Lepisosteus oculatus: one gene and its partner. The protein of the gene in region 1 binds, or shares a complex with, the protein of each later gene. Links are inferred from orthologs where the notes say so. Each region holds a gene or a part of one and is shown on either strand. Other genes may lie near its edges.

Region 1 (7,155 bases):
ACATCCGAGCTTAAAAACATGAGAATGAAAGGAGGCCACTTAGAACATCTAGCCATTTTGGTACAAAGCAATTAATTGATCACAGGATCTCAGCCAGCCATTTAGTGAAAAATAAGGTTGATATCAGGGTATTGGCTTCAACAACATGGCTGGCTAGCTGCTGCCATTCTCTCACAATATCTTCGTGGGAGTAGCTAATCACCAGCACCAAAAGCAAAACGCTTTAACATTTAATGCTAGTCCCCAAGTCGTTTCTTTGGCATTGTCATGGGTTCATCCCCCAAAGCAGGACTGGGCGGAAAAAGGTTTAAAAACTTTACAATGCAAATAAAGCAGGAGTAATGGGTGTAGAAAACAATCAAACAACAGTGAGCGATAAGGAAGTTTTCACACTAGGGGACGACTCTAGCTTCTGTAGCTTGTCAAGTCACTGTCATGCCGCCGAGTACTGTCGAAACTATAATCAGATTAAAAGAGGTGGGGGCCCTTTTCCAATTACTGGTAATTAACACAATAAAAATGGACCTCCCCTCTGTTTATATTTGCCTTTTCAAATATTCATAGCTCTTCCACCCACTCCCACTGAAGATGACCTTTCTTGGAAGGAAGGCTAATGTCTGATGGCACAGTTTAGGAATATGCAAGGAACATTTCTTAGAACTGCTCAAACGCTTCATGGATTCCACAGGCACACCACAGTACTGTGCATACTACAATTGAAGAAAAGACAAGCAAAACAGCAAGGATTATGAACGCTAACATAATATATATCCTCTCACGTATTGCGGCATAAAAACAAATTCTTAAAGAACTCTATTTTTGCATTATACAATTTACCTTCACGAACAACTAGTAAATGAAAAAGTTTAAGTTCCTTTATATAAATAACATACTTGTGGACAGCCAGTTTCAATCTAACAGGTACATACTACTTTCAGTTGGAAAACTGAAATCAAGCCAATTCCTCAATTTACAGTCTTTAAATCAATTAAATAAATCTTTTACTTATGTATTCCGAAAAGGGCTAACAAATTCCTTTTACTCATGAGTTCTCAAAATAAGTACAACTTGCTTTTCTTTTGGGATACAAAAGAAAGTTCTTTCGCCGTAGGGGAACAGACATCTCTTCTTCACTTTACACATTTCTATTTCCCAGAAAGTGAGGAGGGACACTTCAGGACTTAAGGCAAGTAACCGGCAAAAAAAAAAAAAACTACAGCAGTTAAAGTTCTTAGAAATGTGAAGAGAGACCAGCTGTGAGAACAAAGGTAAAAAGGATTTCTATACCGGACAGATTGCAACTTTTTGCACGGGCTTGGCAGACAACAGAAAGGAGAGGGAGAAAAAAATCAGGCTGTTTTCCATGTTCTGAAAGCACAGAGTTCAACTCCCCAGCAAGATGCACTTGTCGGCATGGAGAAGAGGGCAAGAGTTTCAGATTTGATCCAAGAACTCTGGAGACACTTCTTTAGGCTGGCTAGACCAGCAGGAACACCTGAACCGAAACAGTCTGGAGACTTACTCAGTCCTGTTGCGGTTTTTGTTCTCCTGCAGCTCCACGAGGTTGATGACCGCCTGCCCCAGGAACTGGTCCAGCCCCACCAGAGCCCGGTGCATGACGACGATGTACAGGGTGCATCGCTGCTCGTTGCCCTGGTGGAACATGGGCAAGTCGAAGGTGGCTTCCTCCTTCCACACCGGCATCGGCGATTTCTCCACCACCGAGGTGGAGTACTTCTCCTTGGCCAGCTGGATAATGGCGTAGGCGTCGTTGGTGCCATTCTTGCCCTTGGCTTTGAGGTTCCTGGCCTGCAGCACCGTCACCTGCACGGTGGTGGGGTACCACTGCTGGCTCTGCTCCGCCAGAGACATGGCCCGTGTCCGGGGGTCGGGCGAACGAAACCTGTCGCTAGAAGAGGCTGAACGGAGGGCACTTCAAAGGGAACTGTCCCGAGTTTCTAGGTATCGCCGTGTCCGTGCCAAAGCGAGCTGGTCCTCTCTCTGTCTCGAGTCGCAAACGAAGTCTGTAGTTGGCACGGCTTGGGATGTTTCACAACCCTTTGCCACTCCTTAAAAAAATGCGATAACGTTAGCTGTAGTGTTTTGAAAACACCACGAACTGGAATGCTTAATCTTGAAATTCCTCAGCGACACCAATGACGTGACCTTATCATAAAACACTCCTCCTTGGAGCAGTTTACGTAAAAGTCACTATCTAAAAATATGTTGAATATTTTGTCGCCCTCGCACCTTTGAATATTTTTAACGTACGCCACACCGCGCACTTGTTCAGTACCGCACCGACCGACTCGTCTATTTTCTGCGTTTTGTCGTGTAAAGCCCCAAAGGACTTTTCACTAGCGCGTTGCTATAAGCGAATTTCAAAGCCCGAAATTTCTTTTTGTCAACTTTTTTTCCTAACAAACAGCATTACCTTCGAAGGAAATTATCCGGGGTCGTCTTTTTCTTTTCCTGGGAAAGTCTATACTCGTCATAAACACATTCGTGGTAATAACAGTTGCTACACGATATATGTCCAGCCTCCGCAACTGCCGCCTGTAACCCGCTTCGCATCCACGTTCGTTCTTGTAAGTAGGATTTATTAATTAAACGGGTTTTTTTTTACCGAAACTGCTACCTTAAGCAAACTCAGGTCATCAGTCCACAGCTGCTAAAGTTACCATGTGTACAGCTTATTCAACGAGAGTCGTTTCATCGATAGTTACCATTCGCTGCCCACAACATTTCATTAGAAAGCAGGTCTTTTCATTCCGGCTTTAAAAAAAAATATTGACATTTTTAGAATACCGGCTCCTTTCAGTTATCGCATTTCGCCTTAGTCTCAGTAATTCGAGTGCTACCTCTTGTTTTATTAACTCACAGTCAATACTAAACTTCCTCCTTCATCACGCACCACCTCGACCTTCTCCCGTCCATCTGCCCAATACGAAGTTGCTTATTGGCCAATTACCGATCAATCAAACCTTTTCCTTCTGTGATTGGTGGAAATGCTCTACAACAGGTTGCTATTGTCCGGAGCAGGTAAAGATCAGGGATCAAATTGCTCGGCAACAGGCATTACGTCATTGTAACACAATGACCTGCGTGTTTAAAAGCGAAGTTCCATTCGGGTTTAAAGAAATGCAACTGAGTGTAAAAAAAAACTAAAGTGATAAGTTTGCACAAACATAATTGTTAAAGAGATTAAACACGATGACAAGCATTACGGTACAGGTAAAGCGTGGATGTAAGTCTATAATTATAATCTGCACTGAAATTATATAATCATAAATACTGTTAGGAAAATATAGAGAAATATGTCAACCATTCATTTCGACGCGTATCTGCTTAGGAAACAGGCTTGTTTGTAAAATGAGTTGGCGTATTGTCGATTTAATCGCTGTATTCAAGCAGCAAAAAACTAAAGGTGGAAAAACTAAGGTTGCTACTGAAAGAGGTGTTAGTGGGGGCAGTAGGGGGCGCTCACTCTGCGGTCTGTGTGGGCCCTAACATTCCAGTATAGTAGTTCAGGTGAACAGAGCTCGCTGTATCACCTGCAAGTACACATCCAACACCACACTCATTCAAGGCCCCTCAGGACAATTCCGGATCACCCAGATGGCATCTTGTACCTCCAGCAACTTTTTTTACTGTATCTCTTGCAGTAAATGTCCAGCCATCTACATTGGAGAAACAGGAAGGAGACTCGGAGACCGCTTCAGAGAACACGTCAGGGCTGTGAAGATTAAAGATCTCTCCAAGCCCATTGTTTCTCATTTCACCTCTGATGGCCACGACCACTCTAATCCCTCCGTCTGTGTTCTCAAAGACGGTTTTCCGAACTCATACATCAGAAAGACCACCGAAACCAAACTTATCCTGCAGCTAGGATCACACCTTCCGCCTTCTCTTAACGACAGACTACTATTCTACTACATTTTCTCCATTCATTGGAAGTTTCATTTCACACCTCTCGACACCTATCCTGACTTCACACCTCTTGATTTCTGTCCCCTGCTCCCTCCCAGCCTTTGTTCTCCCACTACACTACCTTTGCCTACTGCCCTGTCTCTCTCACACCTGAAGAAGACTCCACGGCCGAAACATTGCGTTTTCTTTCTTCTCTTTTCAGCATGGAATAAACCTATTGTCCCTTTGCAGCCTACGCATGCTGACGCAGCTGCCCACCTGATTTATTATTAGTTAATTTTGGTTTCGTATAATATCTATAATAATAGAATTAAATACAGGATATAATAGAATGTAGGGCAATCAGACATAGGTCCTAGTAAAAACGTGAGTTTTGAGTTTAGATTTGAAACAGTCAAAGAATTTGTCTCTGCAGGAGTTAGAGGAAATATTAAATAACAAAGGAACAGCGACGGAAAAGACATAGGCACCAAAAGTCTCAGATTTAGTCCTAGGTATTGTGTACTATACATTCCACTGAAATTTCCAAAGGGAGTGAGAGAGTCTGTGAGTGACTGTTCAAGGTACAGGGATGGATGAAGGCTATCCTTATGGAGTATCCTGGGTTCAAGATACGGGAGCACAGAGCTGTCGGCACACCTTGACCATTAGCGCACTCAATTTGTCCCGGTAACTTTTCTGCTGAAACCATGGATGCTGTCCAAGTTATTATTGCTTGCTCTCATTCGATTTACGTGGTTAAATAAATAAAACGACAAGCATTTAAAAAGTAGTAAGAGATTAAATTGCAATTTATCATTTCTGAAAGACAAGCGCTCTCACTGGACAGTCGAGCGGCTCCTATTAAGGTGGAAAGACACACTGTCCTGTGACTGTGAAATGCTGTAGTTTTTATTTAGGACGAACATAATGAGTCCTGAGCTTATTCTTTTTTTTTTTGTGACCCGGCCAGCAGAAAGATCGAGTCAGGGAATAACTGCTCTCCATTCACATAAAGTCGCTTGGTCAATACGTTACCATCGTAAATTCAAGAAACGCCATCACCCCCAGACGAAGCCGCACGATCTTGCTAAAAATAACACGCTTTCTTAACTTTTTTTTACTATTGCCTTTTTTTTGTCTACAACAAAAAAGCACAGCAAATAAAACCACTAAAATAAGATTTCAGATTTTTTTAGTCACGGTGAACCACACATCATGAAGGGAACCGACTGCCCGCAATTTTGAGACACCAGCGCCATCTTCTGTCCTTCGTGTCAGATTCTATATACGGCCTTAAATGGTGAAAAAGTGGTCGTTACCGCGAAAGGCAAATACAATTGACAAATTATGTGCCTTTTTTCACGCTTTTATGCAACTCAATGGGGCCAGGGTAAAAAAAAAAATATGTGTTTCAGGATGTAAGTGGTTATACAATTGTGACTGACCTTTCAATTAAAAATCTAGCCGGACCTACAAGCACTGCACAAAATCCCAAAAGGTGAAACTTTCGCCGTAGTATTATTCCCCAGCACTCACATACGTACATCTACGCCCTTCCAGGCTATGCTTAGCTTTTAATACAAAATTAACGTTCAGTGAGTTTTTAATTCCGATGGGGGGGGGTGGTTCTAAACTTTGATTAAAACGGTATTTCGGTTTTAATTGCAGTGTCGTTCATCTTTAATTGATACGGTCTTGTCAAGAATCAAATTACTAATTGCGCCCTTCTCTAAATGAGGAAATCAGTACATACACGATTAATTGCATTGTATCGATACATCGAAAAGTACATTTCCTACATAGCGCAGCAAACACTTCACAATTTCAATGGGATGCTTTCCTAGGGGGCGCCGTGGGCCCGTTTTGTATTCTGTTCTGGACGTGCCCGGATGTGGATGAGTTTTGACATTTTATTTTCTGGTTTGTCCAGTGTTCTTAAAATAAGGAGGCTCCTTATTAATTTGGTCTTTTGTCTTACTAAATGATAATTGTGGTCTTGACTTCTGTCTGTGACAGAAGGGGGTCTGTGGGGTTGGTCCTATAGCTCAACAGATGTTGGCGCTACGCTGGGACCCTCACACTAGCTGTCCTGACATTACGGGCTTATCTTGATTTAATTTATATGGAACATTAAACGTCTAGGATCTGTGGTGCCACGGACAGACGGTAGAGGCTTTGAGCGCTGCTGCTGCTAAGAGCAGGTCCTTATTAGGAGCTGTTTCGTCTGTTTACAGCAGGGGGAGGTTCCCACTGATAGCGGGGAAAGAGCGAATTGTTCAAAACATACAACCTAACATTCTAGCCCGCCTTATGTTGTGGAATTCAAGAATCTGTGCTCATTTTCAAGTATTGCTTTTTAAAAAACATTTAGAATAAACAAAAGATGGGAGGGAGGAAGTTTCTCAGTGACACAATGCATACATAGCTTAAAAAAATCTTTATTTTGAAATAAACAACCGACAAAGCAAATCTTTTATAAGGCACTGTCCGGATTCTAGAAGAAATATATTATATAAAAATGCTTTATTATTAATATACATAATGAATTGTCTTCAGGTAAAAAATATAAATACGCACTTTAATCTTGAAATCTCCCCCTGTTCACCCAGAAATGAGAACTACAAAACCATAGATTTTTCAATTTTATGGTCGGTTAAATTTTCCTTTTTTTTGTTGAGTTTTCAGTTAAGAGCTCATAAAGCAGTTCAATAACATAACTCTGTGGCTTTAATGAAATGAGAGCTGAAGTAAAACAAATTAAATGAAACCTGAATCCTCCATTATAATGACGTGTACTCTTCCTTCTATAGTTGTTAATTTTTAAATACTTTAAATCGAGGGTTTGAAACTCAGAGCCAGGGGGCTGCAGATACTGAAAAACTGGATCAAGGCTGTATTATATATCATCCAATGTAAAACATCTTGGTAGAACTTTAAATATTTGTTGCTGGATCAATGATGTAACTGAGACCTTGGCCAATATTCTGTACAATCTTGGAGACATCTGCCAGTGTCAAATTTAAATCCTGAAACTTTCTGGAGGTTGTCCATTGAGTAGATGCAGGCAGGAGACTGCCTAACAGAAAGCACCCATCAATTGGCACCTAGAATTTGTGATTAAGTTGAAATTTCGATTTAATCCAGACCCTTGAAGCAGGAATAAAAATCTCTCTGGCCCTCTCCGAATGCCTGTCAAAGTCAGGATGGATATTGTTTCTAAGCCAAACTACACTTTCAGAGCAT
Region 2 (6,949 bases), on another chromosome or scaffold:
ATCTACGTCCGTCACATAACTAGTTATTTCTCACACGCTCCTCATACTGCGAGATTACAGCACCATCCATTTTCTAACTGCTTCATGCAATTCAGGATCGCGGGGGAGCTAGATCCTCTTCTGGCACGCAACAGGCACAGTATACAGTTAACCCTGGAAGGTAAACAGACAAACAGTGCCTCTGGACTGCGGGAGGACACTGGAGTGGCCAGAGGAAACTCGTGTGAACATACAAACTCCACACAGACAGCACACAGAGTTTTCCAGAATTACATCTGGGCATCACAGTGAATTAAGTCCTGATTAAAAAAAAATGTGTAAAAGTTAACCAGAGGTAGGAAATTGTACAACCCCCTCCCAAGTTAACAGAAAGGTAAAAGTACCTGAAATTAAGACTCCCCTAGGTCACGGCAAGGTCACTAAGCTCACCTGTACATTTTACATGCCTGCCTGTTTTTTTTCCCCAGTTGTAATATAATTGGGTGGAATGGTGATCTTGTCATATCTATGGTAACAATGTACACATACAAGAACCCGAGGTGTGGCATCCACAAGCAAGAATATTTGAGAAGCCTTTGTAACCCGGTTCTCTGTGGATGGGCTTGTGCATGGCAAGATGGGAAAACACAATCAAAATGAAGTTTTAAAAAAAAAATAACGAGGTCATCCTGGGATGCCCCCTGCATCTTTCATGACGGACGAATTAAGGACCGCGAGAGTGTTCTGGGCTAAGCTGGTGCAAAGTGCACTATACCAAATCATTCAGCTCCCTTTTTTTTTTTTTGAGGCTGCCGATTTGGGCCTGTGCTTTGCCCACACACACACAAAGCAAACTAGAAGAAGAAAGATCGCTGCAGTTTTAAGACGTTAGCCGACCTCTCTCTTTCAAACAAAGTACTTCAACGCGTCTGGAGTGCCATACACGGCACACGCAAAGAATCCGTTCCTCACTGAGTCACTGCCGACAAGCAAAAGGAGAAGACTTCCTGTGAGAAATGCCATAAGAATCTCCCAAGCATAGAGAATGCTAGCATGTGACCAACCTGCCTTGAGCTCCTGCCAGTTCAGCACTTCCTCTCCCTGACAAGAGCGAGACCTCACCATCTCTCTCCCTGCAGCTGAACACACTCCTTCCCTCTGTGGCCTACTACCTGACACTCACCAGGCACCCCTGAGCTCCTTTAAATGACTTCACGTGAAATGAGGTCAGGAAATTGCGAAAACGGCAGGGGCTTAAAATATCGTTTTTTTTTTACAAATCATGACTCAGCAGTGCATTATCTGCAACATCTCCACCAAACAGCGGCTGACATGCTCACACGGAACGAAGCCAACCGACACCCCTCAAGTGAAAACCTGGTGGCTATGTTTTCAGTTTCCCCACGGCAGATCCTCAAGAGCTCTCACTTCTCCACCTGACCTGGGGGATACACCCCCTCCTGTGTGTGCAAGAGTAAAACACTGAGGTCCTTCAGGGCGAACAGCAGGGGATTCGTGCACACGATTCTTCAGATTTTGTCACCCTCATTCCTAGGTTTTTCACCTTTATCATAATAAAACTCCCCCCATCTTTCAGAATCAGGCAGAAACTGTAGTCTGCTCCAGGATACACAATCCGGGTGACCTCACAGGGGCCTGGATGCCGACAGAAGCAAAACCAAGTAGCTGGAAATCCTTGTAAAACGTGTTTTCAGATCTAACCCTTCTCGGTGGTACATTCGGATCACAATCTGCGGCACACTGAGCATCCGAGAGCCGAAACTCTAGCGGGCTGTCTTCAGGCACGAAAGAACACACCCGATCCTGCTTAGAGATCCCCCAGCTGAAAAACTGAATCAATCGATTTCGAACAGAGATCCAGAAAAATCCAAGAAACCAGGGATAACACTCTTTCTACACCCGTCTCGTCCTGGGCTGTCTTTTGGAAAACCATTCAAAAAGGTGGCCAAGAACGCGTCAGAGCTGTGTAAATTGGTCTTCTGAGTACGGACCATTGAAAACCGGCTTTACAGAGACGACAACACAGCCGAGGCCTAAGAGACCCTCGCATGCAGCGTCTTGCAATAGAAATGCGGCAGAAGGGGGGTAAAACGCTTCTTTTGAACAGTCGTCATTGTCCATTTTATTTGCAGCTCGGCTACGCCTGTCAACACCGTATACCTTAACCGACCCGGGCCTGCTGTCTCAGCTCACCGGGACTGAGGGGCAGCGCAATGCCCTGCAAGCCTAAGAAATCGCCGTCTTCGCCACAATTTCACAAGCACGCATTGATAAGACCGCAGGAGAGGCTCATGAAGCGACACGGACAGCACACCCCCACCCCACATATCTCTCGCATGACAAATCAAAAACATGCTCTGCACCTCCAGCGCCGTGACAGCAGCACCGCTTGAATTCAGATCGCGTTTGCAGAAGGGAGGGGGGGGACGGATATCTGGCCGGCGACCCGGCCGGTGTTGTTGTCACTTCATTACACCCGACGCTGTCACCGTTTAAACTTTAAACCCCTCCCAGCCGGGCCGGGGTTGTGCTGCTGCCCGGCGAGAGCTGCTAGGCCCGGCCCGCCTCCTCCATCAGCACCGGTGTCGCCGCTCCAGCCCCCTGACACAGCACTGGGGGGGACAGGACCCCCAAACGTGCCGCCACGCAGCGGACGAGCGACAGTCCCTGTGCGATGGGCACCGAGAAGCGATAGTCTCGATATTTCAACACCCCCCCTCCCCTCCCCGGTATTCCTCGCCTCTTATTCAAACGGCAAACAAAATATCATGAGACCGACCTCTTCCGGATAGAGAGACACCGAACAAAAGCCACCGGCCAGCGCCGCCCGCAGCCCCGCAAAACGAGCGAAAACAAGAGGGGGGAAAAACCGACACGAAACGTCGACAGTCACCTTCCCGGCGTGCAGAACCCGCCGCCGTGCAGGAATGGAGCGGACGGGCTTGCCGAGCCGGATAATATTCGCGATCTGGGTGTAGTCACCCCCTCCTCCTTCCTGCCTGCCTTTCTCTCCCCCCCCCGACGACAAGGGAGAGATTCTCATCCAGAGGCGACCGCCCGGCTCCGACAGCCGCCGGCGGGGCGGCCCGGAGGTCCGGCCCGGCCCGCTTACCGTGATTCCGAGGGCGGCTGCGTCGACTCGCTCCGGCGCTGTGAAGGGATCCGCAGGGCGATCCTGGGCTGAGGAGTCTGCCGATCCAAGATGGCGGCCCGCGCTGCACAGGGTTTCCTCCGTCACACACAATGGGCCTGGGGGGACAAAGGGCAGCGGCGCGCGCCCGGCGCCCGCGCGAGGCGCGAGGCGCGAGGCCACGGGCCACGGGCCACCGGCCACGGGCGTCCCGTCCCGTCGGCAGCACTGCGGAAGTATCGCCGTGCACGGTGTGCACTCAGCTTCACGGTGACACCGACACGGCACTGTGCTCCTACAGAGGGGAGAGTCCTGTGTCCCGGACTATTCAAAGTAATAATAATAATATGAATCAGTTTCCCTACGGGATCAATCAACTCTTATCTATCTCTATCTCTCTGATGATACAGCGTTTCCCTACGGGATCAATCCACTCTTATCTATCTCTTATCTCTCTAACGACACAGCTTTATTTTCTATAGCGCCTTTGAGGGCTTTACAGGACGGCGCCAACAACAGGTGTGAAGGCGTGTTGGCGGACTTTTTGGAAATGTAAAAACGTGAAATGAAAACTGTGCGCACCTTACTGGCTCTTGACTCTGTTTTGTCAAACGGACGATGTTATTGATATGTTGTATGTACTCTTGTTTGCGTTGTATTTTCTTTCGACTGTATTTCTACTATTAAACCCTATCTTTATCAAAATAAACGACAGTACAAGGACTGGACTTGTATTATTATTGTGGCTTTCACCTTCAGAGGTTTTTTGTAAGTGATGAACATGTAAATTAAATAAATAACGTGAGTTAGTTACTAGATAATATCACAGGAACTCTATTAAAGAGGTGAGACCTTTGTTGTACATTTCAGTAAAATACATGGCAGTGATAATAATATTTCACCTTGTTGACCAGTTTATAAACACTGACACTGTGGTATCACGTATGAACAACTGATTTTATAGTACGCCTCTCAGTCATAAATCTAGTTTCCAGACATGATGGTAATGTGAGAAAGGGCCTCTTTTTCAGAGGATGTGATTGTTTTTCTGAAGTGACTCAAAAGATTGCAGCGTCTGCTCTGGATCAGGGTCTCGTCCGGGTAAGGATGCAGATCTGGCTCCTGCAGGGTGCCTGGGACGCAGGAGCCAGGAGGAAGTGGTCAGAGACATCACAGCTGATCAGAGCTGGGGGTGTGGACCTCGGCGAGGCAGCCCTGCTAACGGACAACAAGCAGGCTGCACATTTCTGCTCTCCCCCGCGGCTGGCTGGGGAGTTTCCCCGATACAAGCTCCTTCTGCTCCACTGCTGCAGCCTGTCGCACCGCCCTGTGAAGCTCAGCGTTGAGCACTGCAGCCTCACAGCCCTGGGTTCAGTTCCCGGGGTGCTGTCTGTGTGGAGTTTGCATGTTCCTCGCTGGTTTGTGTGGGTCTGCTCCAGTTCCCCCCCCACAGCCCAGAGGCATGCTGGCCTGCAGCCTCAGTCCGAGTTTATCCCCAAGGTCAGTCCAGTTAGCAGGTTTGTGTCTGGCAGCTGGCAGCTCACTGTGGCTCAGCAGGTGTGAGTCTGGCCAGTACCTGGAGGGGAGACTCCTGGGAAACACTAAGGCTGCTGCTGGAAGAGGTGTTAGTGGGGCCAGTGGGGGGCGCTCACCCTGCGGTCTGTGTGGGTCCTAATGCCCCAGTATAGTGACGGGGACACCGTACTGTAAATACTTGCAGTCTGTTTCCCTGAGACCCTCCGTGATCATGTCCTCTGACTGCTTGGCCTCCTGTTCTGTGATAGCTTGGGTCCTCCTGCTCCTAAAAAGGCGAATTATGATGATGATGATAATTATTATCATTATAATAGCAGCTCAATGTGTCCGGGAAGAAAACCGTCGCCCTTCTCCACGGGTAACGTTGCTGGCAAAGCTGCTGTTGACAAGACAGAGACGGTCTCGCGGGAGAAGGTGGGCGGGGCTTGAAAGGGTGGCAGGACCTGATTGGGCGATTCGGTTACACGTCTTCACCTTACGGGGTCATGGAGACGTCACTTCCGGGGTGGAGGGATTACATAGTCGGAGACCCAGGGCTGGGTAGTTCGGAAGACAGCCGCCAGAGGGCGATACATTACAAGCTATAAAACTATTTGGCATCCCCCTTTATCGTTGATATGGAGGCTTCATATTATCCATTCATTTTCCAACGGCTTTGTCCGATACAGGATGCGAGGGATCGGGAGCCTATCCCGGCAGGCAACGTTGGCAAGGGGGATACACCCTTTGCAGGACGTCACATAACCGGACAGAATATTGATCTGCAATACTCCTGTTTTTCTCAGCGAGGTGCATTATTATTATTAATAATAATAATAATGCTTACACTTATATAGCGCTTTTCTGGACACTCCATTCAAAGCGCTTTACAGGTAATGGGGATCCCCTCCACCCCCACCAGTGTGCAGCCCCTCCTGGAAGATGCCAGTTCATAGATGGGGATTATTAGGAGGCCATGACTGGTAAAGGCCAGGGGGATATTTTGGGCCAGGACGCCGGGGTTACGCCCCTACTCTTTTCGAGAAACGCCCTGGGATTTTTAATGACCACAGAGAGTCAGGACCTCGGTTTTGCGTCTCATCCGAAAGACGGATTGAGTTCAGTTCAGTGTTGTGAACTGATTCAGATGTGGTCCCTTTATTCACCGTGAGGCTGGGAGCTGCTGCTGCCTGCAGCCCTCGGGATCCGGGTTCGATTCTGCCCTGGGGCTCCTTCTGTGGGAAGCTTGCATGTGCTTCCCACTGTTGGCTCAGGTTTCCACCAGGTACTCTAGTTTTCTCCTACCTTCCAAAGACCATGAGGTCACCAAAACATATCTGAGGTGTCTAGAGTGCTTCTAACATCTGCAACACATCTGTCCTTTCTATTCTGAAAAAGGAGAGTCACTGATCTGGCCTCACGTGAAATGATGGTCAGTGTTTCACATCCCTGTCAGGCCATTTTGTGTGCTTGGTCCATAATTAAGCCTAAAGACTCATCAGGCCAGAACTTCTCCCATCTTCTGTAGTACGAAAGCAGGCTGCAGGGCAGCGCTCTCCTCTGCTGACAGGGGTCCCATCTTGGGTCATCCATCCATCTGTCTGCCTGCAGCTCCCGGCTGGCAGCCCACTGGAGCCCAGCAGTGTGAGCCTGGTCGGTACCTGGAGGGGAGACTCCTGGGAAAGCTGGGGCTGCTGCTGGAAGAAAGGTTAGTGGGACCAGTATGGGTCTGTGTGAGTCCTAATGCCCCAGTATAGTGATGGGGACACTATACTGTAAAAAGGAGCCGTCTCTCGGATGAGTCATAAGTCATCTTGACTCTCTGTGGTTATTGAAACTCCCGGGGCGTTTCTCGAAAAGAGTAGGGGTGTTACCCCGCTGTCCCGGCCAAATTTCCCCCGGCCTTTACCAGTCATGACCTCCTTATAAACCCCTTTAATCATCCTTTTCTAACTTGTGGACCACCGGCAGGTTTTGAAATAACAGTCATGGTAATTTTGTCTTCATCATCATATACAGTATATCAGCACAACATGGGAGTGCTTCTTATACCGGTCTGGCCTTTTGTTCGCCTAGATTGAATCATTTAATCTTTTTTTTTTGTAAACAGTTATCGCAACAAAATGCCTCTATTTCGCAAAGTGTGCAAGATCTGTTTGAAAAGCCACTGTGGTGTGATGAAAAAAACCCCCAACAACTTCAGAATAAAACTTCGGAAGCTGTGGAAAAAAAAAGATAACTTGAAAGAAGACGCCTCTATGACATTGGAAGACTTCTGCCTTTACTTGTCAGTACTTGATAAGG

The links. The genes of interacting proteins can lie anywhere in the genome.
Region 2: the proteins of rab11fip1a (region 1) and ras-related protein Rab-14 are in contact, whole or in part, in a crystal structure (PDB 4D0G), measured with the Homo sapiens proteins. The link is inferred for Lepisosteus oculatus from reciprocal best matches to the Homo sapiens genes RAB11FIP1 and RAB14. Residues at the interface, in NP_001002814.2 of Homo sapiens: Glu1252, Ile1255, Asp1256, Asn1257, Leu1259, Val1260, Met1263, Pro1267, Asn1268, Leu1270, Arg1271, Ile1272; in NP_057406.2 of Homo sapiens: Leu28, His29, Ile44, Gly45, Val46, Glu47, Phe48, Gly49, Trp65, Arg72, Arg74, Ala75, Val76, Ser79, Tyr80.

Annotation. Positions count from the first base shown.
Region 1 is NC_090697.1:72,846,664-72,853,818, forward strand, and holds the start of rab11fip1a (rab11 family-interacting protein 1), read right to left. Parts: upstream 3,018-7,155; 5' UTR 2,882-3,017; intron 2,876-2,881; exon of another isoform or gene 2,575-2,875; coding exon of another isoform or gene 2,435-2,574; intron 2,070-2,434; 5' UTR 1,873-2,069; coding exon 1,523-1,872; intron 1-1,522. UniProt on the Homo sapiens protein: A Rab11 effector protein involved in the endosomal recycling process. Also involved in controlling membrane trafficking along the phagocytic pathway and in phagocytosis. Interaction with RAB14 may function in the process of neurite formation.
Region 2 is NC_090719.1:14,694,976-14,701,924, forward strand, and holds the start of ras-related protein Rab-14, read right to left. Parts: upstream 3,061-6,949; 5' UTR 2,894-3,060; intron 2,852-2,893; exon of another isoform or gene 2,780-2,851; intron 2,737-2,779; exon of another isoform or gene 2,364-2,736; intron 1-2,363.